Linked DNA regions of Macaca fascicularis. The protein of the gene in region 1 purifies or fractionates together with the protein of each later gene. This does not show direct contact. Links are inferred from orthologs where the notes say so. Each region holds a gene or a part of one and is shown in the gene's direction. Other genes may lie near its edges. The genes, in order: DDX17, HDAC1 and HDAC2.

The links.
Region 2: the proteins of DDX17 (region 1) and HDAC1 purify together in Homo sapiens (affinity purification with western blotting; 3 studies listed by BioGRID and IntAct, with this or other methods). This does not show direct contact. The link is inferred for Macaca fascicularis from reciprocal best matches to the Homo sapiens genes DDX17 and HDAC1.
Region 3: the proteins of DDX17 (region 1) and HDAC2 purify together in Homo sapiens (affinity purification with western blotting; 3 studies listed by BioGRID, with this or other methods). This does not show direct contact. The link is inferred for Macaca fascicularis from reciprocal best matches to the Homo sapiens genes DDX17 and HDAC2.

Annotation. Positions count from the first base shown.
Region 1 is NC_088384.1:13,144,583-13,148,331, forward strand, and holds the start of DDX17 (probable ATP-dependent RNA helicase DDX17), read left to right. Parts: upstream 1-1,112; 5' UTR 1,113-1,423; coding exon 1,424-1,473; intron 1,474-3,749. UniProt on the Homo sapiens protein: As an RNA helicase, unwinds RNA and alters RNA structures through ATP binding and hydrolysis.
Region 2 is NC_088375.1:202,730,334-202,734,066, reverse strand, and holds the start of HDAC1 (histone deacetylase 1), read left to right. Parts: upstream 1-840; 5' UTR 841-937; coding exon 938-986; intron 987-1,009; exon of another isoform or gene 1,010-1,203; intron 1,204-3,733. UniProt on the Homo sapiens protein: Histone deacetylase that catalyzes the deacetylation of lysine residues on the N-terminal part of the core histones (H2A, H2B, H3 and H4).
Region 3 is NC_088378.1:17,991,482-17,995,130, reverse strand, and holds part of HDAC2 (histone deacetylase 2), read left to right. Parts: intron 1-954; coding exon 955-1,096; intron 1,097-3,649. UniProt on the Homo sapiens protein: Histone deacetylase that catalyzes the deacetylation of lysine residues on the N-terminal part of the core histones (H2A, H2B, H3 and H4).

The DNA of each region.
Region 1 (3,749 bases):
CGGCAGCAAAGTGCCCACGGAGTCCACTGGGGCTCCAACCAATTTTTTTTTTTTTTTTGAGACATGGTCTCGCCCCGTCTCCAGGCTGGAGTGCAGTGGCAGGATCTCGGCTCACTGCGACCTCCGACTCCCAGGTTCAAGCGATTCTCCTGCCTCAGCCTCCCAAGTATCTGGGACTACAGGCGCCCGCCACCATGCCCTGCTAATTTTTGTATTTTTCGTAGAGACAGGGTTGTGCCATTTTGGCCAGGCTGGTCTCGAACTCCGGACCTCAGGTGATCCTCCCGCCTCGGCCTCCCAAAGTGCTGGTATTACAAGCGTGAGCCACCGTGCCCGGCCTCCAAGCACATTTTGTTTCTGTATTAGCAACAGCTGTGCTCGGCCAGAGACGGTGAAAATACACGGTTCAGAAAATGCACCTCGGTGTGAACCAAGTGTAGCTGAGGACCCTTTAACCTGGAGCGGACATCGCCACCTCATAAACTCCCGAAAGAAAGGGACACGGCGCATCCATCATGGCTGCCGGAGACAGAACAGCGAGAGGCAACGGAAAGGAAATGGCGCCGGGGCCCGCCGCCATTCTCAGCGGGCCGAGGGCTGCGGGGCGAGAGGGCTGCCGGCCCCATGTAGGAAGGCCAGCCAGGGAACTTAAGACCCTCCCGACTTCTGGCACCAGGAGGCCCTGAAACTTGATAACAATATGGAGGACGGTTATTGTCTCTGCAAAGCAACTTCCACAAGCCGGCCGCGGGGTCTGTCCCGAGATCGGAATCAGGCAAAATCCTCTATTCTCTAAACAGAATGCGTTACGCATACTGCGCATCTTCGCAACAGCGGGCCGGCTAACGACGCAAAGAATGTTACGTCGCACCAGAGGCGCTTCCTCCCACCGCACCCCACGTTCTAGTTCAGGTGGCGCGAGAACTCTACGCTCGCTCCGTACTTTGTTTTTCTTGTACAGACCGCAAAATACGCCGATCGTCGCAACTGACGTAAAGCGCTTCCAAGAATACCCGTAGTTCCCCGCGGAGCCCTCGGGCTATTCCGAGACGCTGTTTACGTATCGTCTCCGGCGTACGTAGCGTTAAGTTGGAGCCGACTCAGCTGCGGCCGCCATTTTGTGCAGTCGCTGGGAAGGAAGGAGACGCCTAAACCGCGGCACTGCCCGGTTTGAGCGTAGCCAAACCTGCCCGCCGGCTTTGTAGCCCCGATTCTCTGTGTTTTGCTCCCGTCTCCGACGAGAGAGGCGGCGACGGTGGCGTCTGCGACGGGAGACAGCGCGTCGGAGCGAGAGAGCGCTGCGCCTGCCGCCGCCCCAACAGCGGAGGCGCCGCCGCCATCGGTCGTCACCAGACCGGAGCCGCAGGCCCTCCCGAGCCCGGCCATCCGTGCCCCGCTCCCAGATCTCTATCCTTTTGGGACCATGCGCGGAGGAGGCTTTGGGGACCGGGACCGGGATCGTGACCGTGGAGGGTAAGGGTGGGGGAGGAGAGGAGAGGCCTGGCGTGGGGGTGGGGGTGGGGGAGTTGCTTTCTGGGGAGGCCCAGCGGACTGCGGGCCTGGGAGTCCTGCTCCTGACCCCGGGAGGCGAGGCGACTCGAGGCCAGACAGCGGTTTCGTGCGCGGGCCTCGGCTCCAGGGTCACTCGGGACCCAAGGAGGGCGGCGGCTTGGCGACGCTGGGCCTCTCTTTGCGAAAGGCAGTCGTGGCGCGGCCCGGCCTCGTCTCAGCCCCGCGGGGGATCGGGAGGGGCGGCCTGGCCGCAGCAGCCCCGGCCCGGGCTTAGGCGCCTCGCCTGGCGTCCCGGCTCTCGGGCCTGGCCGCTTGGAGCGGGCCGTTTGATGTCTTCAGGCCTCGGCGTTCATCTGGAAAAACACGGATCTTCCTAAGAGAAGACTTCAGCCCAGGAAAGCTTTACACGAAATGGCAGCCTTGACGTTCTCTCCCCAGAGTTCACTGTTTAAGACACGAGACGAAAAGACCAGCTTCTCATTTTTAAAAATAGGTTTTAATCCTCTTCAGTCGTATTTTAAGTCGAAGGAAATGCATTGGGATGTAAAGCAATGGAGTTGCTTGCCATCTAAATGACCGTGTTTGGGGGAAGGATTTTTTTTGGGTCGTTAATTTAGTTTTAATATTTCGGCGTTTTTTCTCTAATTGGACTGCAGCATCAACTATTCTGCCTCGCTAGAAAGTTCTTGGTATTGTGGGCCGGGCGCAGGCCTCAGGCCCGTAATCCCAACACCTTGGGAGGCCGAGGCGGGCGGATCACCAGAGGTCGGGAGTTCGAGACCAGCCTGGCCAACATGGAGAAACCCTGTCTCTACTGAAAATACAAAATTAACCTGGCTTGGTGGCGCATGTCTGTAATCCCAGCTGCTCGGGAGGCTGAGGCACGAGAATCGCTTGAACTCGGGAGGCAGAGGTTGCAGTGAGTGGAGATAGCGCCACTGCACTCCAGCCTGGGCAGCAGAGCGAAACTCCGATTGCCCGCTCCCTGCTTCCAAAAAGAGTAAAGTGACGCCACTTTATATGTGTGTGTGACCTTGGTCAAGATCCGTAACTTTTGTGAGCTTGTTTCCTTTGAGGAAGGTGATAATAATTGCATTTACTTTGGTGTGTTGTCAGGAATTAAGAGATAATGGATGTAATAGTCTCGCTGTAGTAGGCACTCTATTAACCGTACTTTCCCCAAACGTTTTGTCTTTCGTGGTTCAGATGCACAACTACTGGATTTACTAGTCACAAGCACTTCAGTTACCAGTTTTTACAAAATTATTTTGATTTATACCTTATTAGGAAGGAAAATATTTGATCTCATTGTTTAAAGGACGAGAGATGGAATGTTTGCTTGTGTTTGACAGTATTGCTGAGTTTAGAAGTGAATTTCAGTACAACCACTTAGAAAAAGAATTTAAGATTATCTAGAAAAATTGAAAACAGCCCAGTAATTCCTCCCTAAGCTTTACACCCTAGACTGTAATGCCTAGAGAAATCCTTGCACACGTGCCTCAGGATCCTTGTACAGAAAAGTTTATATACCAGCATTCCTGCTAACAGGATATTGGAAATAACTCAAATGTCTCCATAAATTGTGGGTATTCGTGCAATTGAATACAATTTAATCAGCTGTGAAAAAGAGAAAAGAACTTGGATTAATGTGGATAAGTCACAGACATGTTGAGTTAAAAAGCAAGTTGTGGTAGGGTGACACATTTAAGGATATGTGCAAATATGACAGGAAAGGGAATGGTTAACAAAATTCAAGGTAGTGGTTATTAGGGTGAAAGTTGTAAACTTGAAATAGGCACATAAAGGGGATACAAGGTACTAATAGTGTTCTGTTTCTTTACCATGGCTGTTTGGTTTAGTATTTCCTTTCACCATATATATGCTTTAATAAGTTATTTGAAAGGAAAAAAGTGAATTACTGATCCATACTTTAACTCTTTGTATCAGATGACATTTTTTAAAAATTTCAAACGAACTGGCCTTCTTTCATAAGATCTTTGTCACAACTCTCCCTTTCCCAAGAAATGTTCTTGATTATTTGAATTGCTGTTTTACTCTTAAATGTATGCTACACAGTTGAAGTGGTGGTTACTTTGAAAAAGGAATAGGTGAGGTCAGTTCATGTGTTTCACGTGTGTGATGCAAAAATGATATGCATTGTACATGTGATGGTTTTTAATGTTTAATATATGAATGTTAATATGTGGTTTTTAATGTTAATATATGAATCTTCAAAG
Region 2 (3,733 bases), on another chromosome or scaffold:
CTGCTCTCCTATCATAGGATAATCCCATTTCTTCCTGTCTAAAGAGACTCCTACTTAAGTCATCCTGGGTGACTGCTTCAGGGAGGTAGGTTTTGGAGTCAGAAAGGCTGGGTTCTGTCACTTTGTTACAGTGCCTCTGGTGCAAAGAAGGCATTCAAAAAACCCTGTACAGTTGAAAAATTGAATTTAATTACTTTGTGTAACTTTGAGTAATTCACAGAAATCTGAACTTCTTTATCCTGTCCTGTAAAATGGAGGTAAAAAGCCCTTGGCCGAGAGGTGTTTTGAGGAAAAACTGAAATAACATTGGTAAACTGTCGCACAGTACTTGGCACACAGCAGCCCCTCGACAAACAGCTTTCTTTCCCTTTCTTGTCAGTTTCTTCCTCTCAAAACCAGCGTGTTGCTTTTCTTTTTAATTTAATTATTTTTCTGTAGCCCTCCTTTGCGATCACAAACTCGCTTTCTAACCCAGGTTCAGCCCTTTTATTGGCTGAGTGACCTTGTGCAAGTCACTTTTCCCCTGTAGGCCTCGGTTTATTCTCCGTAAAATCAGAAAGTTGGCCTCCGATCTCCAAGCACGCTTTTCACGACCAAGTGGGACTGTTAAGTTTACGGAGCTGCTTTCCTCCCCCGGGACTGATGGTACGGTCCCCGGGCGGCTCCCCACCCATCTGTCGCAGACCTTGGTACAGGCCCAGGGGGCCCTCGGCGGCCTCTCCGGGCTGCCCTTGCCCCCTGCCGAGTTCCGGGCCCGTGTCTGCGCAAGCTGATTGGCTGGAGCGGTGCCCGGGCTGCGCGGCTATAGGTGAGCTCAGGAGGAGACGGGCGGGGCGGGCCGGAGACCCGCCCCCTCCCCCCTGGGTCGGACGCTGAGCTGAGCCGCGGGCGGGAGGGCGGACGGACCGACTGACGGTAGGGACGGGAGGCGAGCAAGATGGCGCAGACGCAGGGCACCCGGAGGAAAGTCTGTTACTACTACGACGGTGAGCACTGTCCTCGCGGCGGGGGCGGGGCCGGGCCGGGCCGAACCGGGGACCTGGAGGCTGAGGCTGGAGCGCCGATGGGAGGCTGCGGGAGGCTGAGGCGCTGGGGAGAGGCTCGGAGAGGAGGCTGCGAGGGGGAAGTCGAGGCTGAGGGAGGAGGCTGTGAGGAAAGGAGATCGAGGCTGAGATCGAGGGGATCGCGTGGGGGAACCCTGAGGTAATCTTGGTGGGAAGATTCTGAGGAAGTCTGATGTGGAGAGTTTGATGTGGAGAGTTTGAGTGGGACTCCTAGAGGGGAGGGTGCGTCCGAGGAGGGAGGCTGAATCTGATGGAGACGGCTGCAAGGATACATTTTCTTGCCGAGAACCCAAAGCTCTTCCCTGCCCCGTCTCTTCCTCATCTTTTCTGGGAGAAGAGCCCTGCACGACTGGTCGCCCGCCTCCCCTCCCCCAGCCTCTGAGCGGGGCCTGCGGTTGCTACTGCGACGTGGGGCGCCAGGGGTTGCAAGGAGAAGGATGCAACCTGTTAAAACAGGCTTCTCACTTAATCTCTCAAGCAGGTTACTGTGTTCGAGGAAGTGTTGAGGGGCTGGGGCGGTGGGAATGATCGGGTCCCAGTGACCGAAGTTCTCTCCGTGTCAGAGCTCAGAGTGTTAGAGGAGCACAGAGAATAGGCACCGAACTCCACCTGAGGAGTCAGCGAAGGAGGGGACGTCTCAGGACCTGAAGAACAGGAGTTCTTAGCCAGGCAAAGGGAAGGCAAAGATAACAGCAAGTTTCAGAGGCAAGAGAGAGGACAGCACCTTTGAAAAACAGGCATTTGACCGGGCGCGGTGGCTCACGCCTGTAATCCGAGCGCTTTGGGAGGCCAGGGCAGGCGGATCACTTGAGGTCAGGAGTTCGAGACCAGCCTGGCCAACATGGCAAAACCCTGTCTCTACAAAAATATAAAAAGTAGCTGGGCGTGGTGGCGCGCGCCTGTAATTCCAGCTACTTGGGAGGCTGAGGCAGGAGAATCCCTTGAACTTGGGAGGTGGAGGTTGCAGTGAGATGAGATCAGGCCACTGGATTCCAGCCTGGGTGACAGAGCAAGACTCTGTCTCAAAAAAAAAAAAAAAAGGGAAGAAAGAAAAGCAGGCATTTGTTTTTTTTTTTTTTTTTTTTTTTTTTTTTTTTTTTTTTTGAGACGGAGTCTCGCTCTGTCGCCCAGGCTGGAGTGCAGTGGCGCGATCTCGGCTCACTGCAAGCTCCGCCTCCCGGGTTCACGCCATTCTCCTGCCTCAGCCTCCCGAGTAGCTGGGACTACAGGCGCCCACAACCGCGCCCGGCTAATTTTTTGTATTTTTAGTAGAGACGGGGTTTCACCGTGGTCTCGATCTCCTGACCTTGTGATCCGCCCGCCTCGGCCTCCCAAAGTGCTGGGATTACAGGCGTGAGCCACCGCGCCCGGCCAAAGGCATTTGTAACAGTATGGCTGAGACATAGATTTGGGGGCCTATTGTAGAAGGTGGGGACCCGGGGCGAGGGAAGTGTTGCAAATAATGTGGTTGCTGAAGTAAATGGAGACCGACCAGGTGAGGTGGCTCACACCTGTAATCCCAGCACTTTGGGAGGCCAAGGCTGGTGGATCATCTGAGGTCAGGAGTTCGAGACCAGCCTGGCCAACATGGCGAAACCCCGTCTCTACTAAAAATACAAAATTAGCCGGGCATGGTGTCGCGCACCTGTAATCCCAGCTACTCTGGAGCCTGAGGCAGGAGAATCCCTTAGAACCCGGGAGGTGGAGGTTGCAGTGAGCCAAGATCATACCACTGCACTCCAGCTTGGACAACGGAGTGAGGCTATGTCTTAAAAAAAAAAAAATGTAAACAGGGACCAGACCATGAAGGGCTGGGCATGCTGTCCCAAGGAAGTTGGACTTTATTGAGGGCACTTGTGAATGATTCAAGTTTTATGCAGGTTAGTGACATCATCAGGTTTATACCTTAGAAATTAAAGTCATGGGCTGGGCACGGTGGCTCACACCTGTACTCCCAGCACTTTGGGAGGCTGAGGAGGGCAGATCACGAAGTCAGGAGATCGAGACCATCCTGGCTAACTTGTGAAACCCCGTCTCTACTAAAAATACAAAAAAATTAGCCGAGCGTGGTGGCGGGCGCCTATAATCCCAGCTACTTGGGAGGCTGAGGCAGGAGAATGGTGTGGATGCGGGAGGTGGAGCTTGCAGTGAGTGGAGATCATGCCACTGCACTCTATCCTGGGCGACAGAGGGAGACTCCGTCTCAAAAAAAAAAAAAAGAGAAAGAAATTAAAGTCATGGGGTCCAGGTGCAGTGGCTCACGCCTGTAATCCCAGTACTTTGGGAGGCCGAGGCAGGAGATCACTCGAGGCCAGGAGTTCAAGACCAGCCTGGCCAACGTGGTGAAACCCCGTCTCTACTAAAAATACAAAAATTACCTGGGCGTAGTGGCACGCACCTGTAATCCCAGCTACTCAGGAGGCTGAGGCAGGAGAATCACTTGAACCTGGGAGGCAGAGGTTGCAGTGAGCCAAGATTGCGCCACCGCACTCTAGCCTGGGCAACAGGGTGAGACTCGATCTCAAAAAAATAAAAAAATTAGCCAGGTGTGGTGGCACATGCCTGTAGTCCCAGCTACTCAGGAGGCTGAGGCATAAGAATTGTTTGAACCTGGGAGGCGGAGGTTGCAGTGAGCTGAGTTCTCACCACTGCACTCCATCCTGAGCAAA
Region 3 (3,649 bases), on another chromosome or scaffold:
ATACGCTCTTTATATTCTTATGAGAATAGTCTCATGAGTGCTTAGTCTGGAAATATCAATTTACATTGTATTGTTTTATTTAGCACAGCTATGGCATCATTACATAATAAATACAATGCTTTGCCATCTAATAACAAAATCTCACTTCATTGTACTTCAGAAGGATGACATGAGAAGTCCATTTTCCCTTTATTTTGACATGAGTATACACTGGTAACAAAATGTCATGATATGGTGATTCATGTGGCTCCTAAACTGTGTTTGAGTTACAACTGTGTCATTGTTATCTGTGGTGTTCCAAGCACCAGTTTGAAATGATGAGAGTACCACATGTAGCCTCTGTCACAGCTAACCAATTCTGAAGTTCAAATGGAGCCATGGGTAATAAACAATTGAGCATGGCCATCTTTCAGTAAAACTTTTTCTATGGACACTGAAATTTGAATTTTTTAATTGTCACATGTCAGAAAATACTCTTGTTTCGGTTTTGTTTTTAAACCATTTAAAAAATATAAAAACTATTCTTAGTTCAAAGCTGAAAAAAGAGGCAATTGGCCAAATTTGGGCCATGGGCTATAGTTAGCCAATCCCTATTTTATAATATTGAAGATTTATTACAGAGGTGTTTTAATTAAAGTAACAATCTTGAGTATGGTATAATCTTCAGTTTTTCATATATTAGAAACATGTGCTATGTTTTTGAAGCATGTAGAATGGAACAAATTTCACAAAGAGTAAATATGTATTTTTTAACCTACGTAGGGCCATAAGTGGGTATTTAAAGGCCTAAGGCTCAAACCTCAGATATTTGAATAGCCTTTTAGGCCGAATTTAAAAGGTGATTAAACATCCTGGAATGTTAGAACTCAAAAATAGGTTTCCTGAATTTGTGGTGCTTCTTCCCATCTTATAACCTTTAAAGAAAAAAACAAAAACTTATGGATTTGCTTTCAGGTATCATCAGAGAGTCTTATATATTGATATAGATATTCATCATGGTGATGGTGTTGAAGAAGCTTTTTATACAACAGATCGTGTAATGACGGTATCATTCCATAAATATGGGGAATACTTTCCTGGCACAGGAGACTTGAGGGTAAGACTAAATTCTGTCTTAATAAATACTGTGAGACGAACCTAGGAGATCAGTAACCTTATACTTGAAGTAGAATTTTTCCTGAGTTAATAATTTGAAACTTGTATGCAGAATTCAATTACTTCATATGCAGTAACATTTGCTAAAATTCACTGTTGCTAACTAAGCAAAAATTTAGTGAGAACTTAAGGACTGTTTTTTTTTTTTTTTTTCTCAGCTGTTTTCTTTGGTTGAATAAATATTTTTGAATATCCACAAAGCACGAAGCCCTTCTCTTGATGTTCAGTTTGAATCTTCAAAACTACCTGATGGTAGCCTATGTTGCTATTGATTATAAGGATCGGTGGAATAAAATAGACTAGGTCTTTTTAGGTTCTTCTGCTCCTCTCTTTTGTGATTGGTCTTGACTTTTAGTAGGTCTAATTTTAATCTTTTTTTTTTCCTTAAACTTCTAAAGTTGGTAATGTATTTACGTAGAGAAAGAATAGTGTAGCCCTGCCTGCCTGTTACATTAAGTGTATTTCTATTTTATTTCTGTTATCTTTTTCCATTTGATGCTCTTGTCTTTTATGACTGTGAAAACCACTGGTCAAATCCTATTTCTGTAAGCTCATTGAAGGTTTTTTGCCTCACCACACTTTTTTTGAACCTAACTACACACATGTTGAAATTTATTCAATAATTTAAACAGCTGTTTTTAGTTCAGCCTGGATTATATGGGAGATTTGTCTTATATGGCATTGAACAAAGTTCTAAACTATTTTATTAAGGTTATTTTTCACGTCTATGGTATGTTGTTACAGTTTAGCAACCAGAATTTAAAGAGTTGCCATAAAGTATTCTTAAGCTGTATGGCTTTTCTTTGTTAGACCACAATGTGATCCTTTCTCAGTAAACTCTTTGAGTAAAAGAGTTACCTTAGTAAAACTTTTCCATACTTACAAATGGGTGGGAGGTCAAATGTTTGGTTTGAGTTTAAATTATTTAGCTTTTAAAATTGCAGATTTGTAATTTCAGTTCCTTGCCAGTAAACTCCTTCAATTTATCCTTTTCTCCACCTGGTCATACAGACTAGTGGTTCTCAAACAGTGGACCCTAAACTGAGGAGAAAGCAGACCAGCATCACCTGGGAACTTGTTAGAAATACACATTCTTAGGGCCCAGAAACTGGGTGATTTGAGAATCACTGCTGTAAACCGATAGAATATATTTGTCAGCAACCATTACATCCTAGTGGAAGTCAAGCAAAAGTCTTCTCTGTTTTAAGCTTAAAGAATAAGACAGTATCTTTGCAGTATGATCCTAGTTTATCTCAGAAGTGGAAAATGGAAGCCTCATGTAATTTCTGACAGGTGAATGTCGCTATGGTCTCTTCTCAGTTATTATTCATAATTCTTACAGTTTGAAGTTTTTGAAAATATTAGAGAATGCATGTTTTAGAAGGATTTGAGACTGGGTTTCAACATCTTTTTCTTAAGATTTTACAGTCGCTGTATTAAATGATGTTTTAAGGATAACATTTGAATATTTTAAGCATGTCCACATAATTTTGTGAGAGAATTAAAATCAGTCGTTACATTATACGTACTGCTGTATTTGGACTTTCTGTGTAACTCACATGTATCTTTGGATGTTAATTTAATAAACACTCGCTTTTTCTGCCTGCTAATTCATTCTAATGCTGAAAAGAAGGCTACGCTGAGCTTAGCTCATTGTTGAAACTCTGTTTGCTTTAATTCGAGTAGTCAGTGGAAGAAAGAAAGGTGGCGTAGTAGCAGTTGCAGAATGAGACCTGGAAAAGATAAAGCTTAGTCTAACAAGGGCAGCAGCTCTGAGTTGCCAGCTAGTTAGTGGCAGTTAGGATGAGAAGTGCTGACCAACTTTTCTGCATTCTGAAATCTTAGAGTCAAAATATATTTCGTCTGTGTTTTAACTGTGCAGTAGGAGTGTAAGGATTCACTATACTTTGTCTTTTCCATATTTGTATGGCTTATATTTAGTTACTAAATCTTAATAAAAATTTAGACTGCAAGAAAAATTGGGAGAGGAGGTGTGTAATTTTGCTTGCTTTCCCCTCGTTGGATGATGGGTCTCATAACTCTAATATTGAGGGTAAATTTTGCTTTTGTGAAATTGAACTGAAGCTAAGACCATTCCATGAGAGGTTCAGGAAGAACTTGCACAAGTGCTAGTAATCCTAAAAATTCATGGATCTTCAGACATTATAATTTAACACACATAAGAATTAGGCACCCCACACCCCAGCCAGGCACGGTGGCTCGTGCCTGTGATCCCAGCACTTTGGAAGGCTGAGTCAAGTGGATTACCTGAGGTCAGGAGTTCGAGACCAGCCTGACCAATATGGTGAAACCCTGTCTCTACTAAATACAAAAAAGAATTAGGTGGACGTGGTGGCATGCACCTGTAGTCCCAGCAACTTGGGAAGCTGAGACAGGACAATTGCTTGAACCGAGGAGGCGATCTTGGCTCACTGGAGTGCAGTGAGGCGAGATCACGCCACTGCACTCCAGCCTGGGTGACAGAGCAGGACTC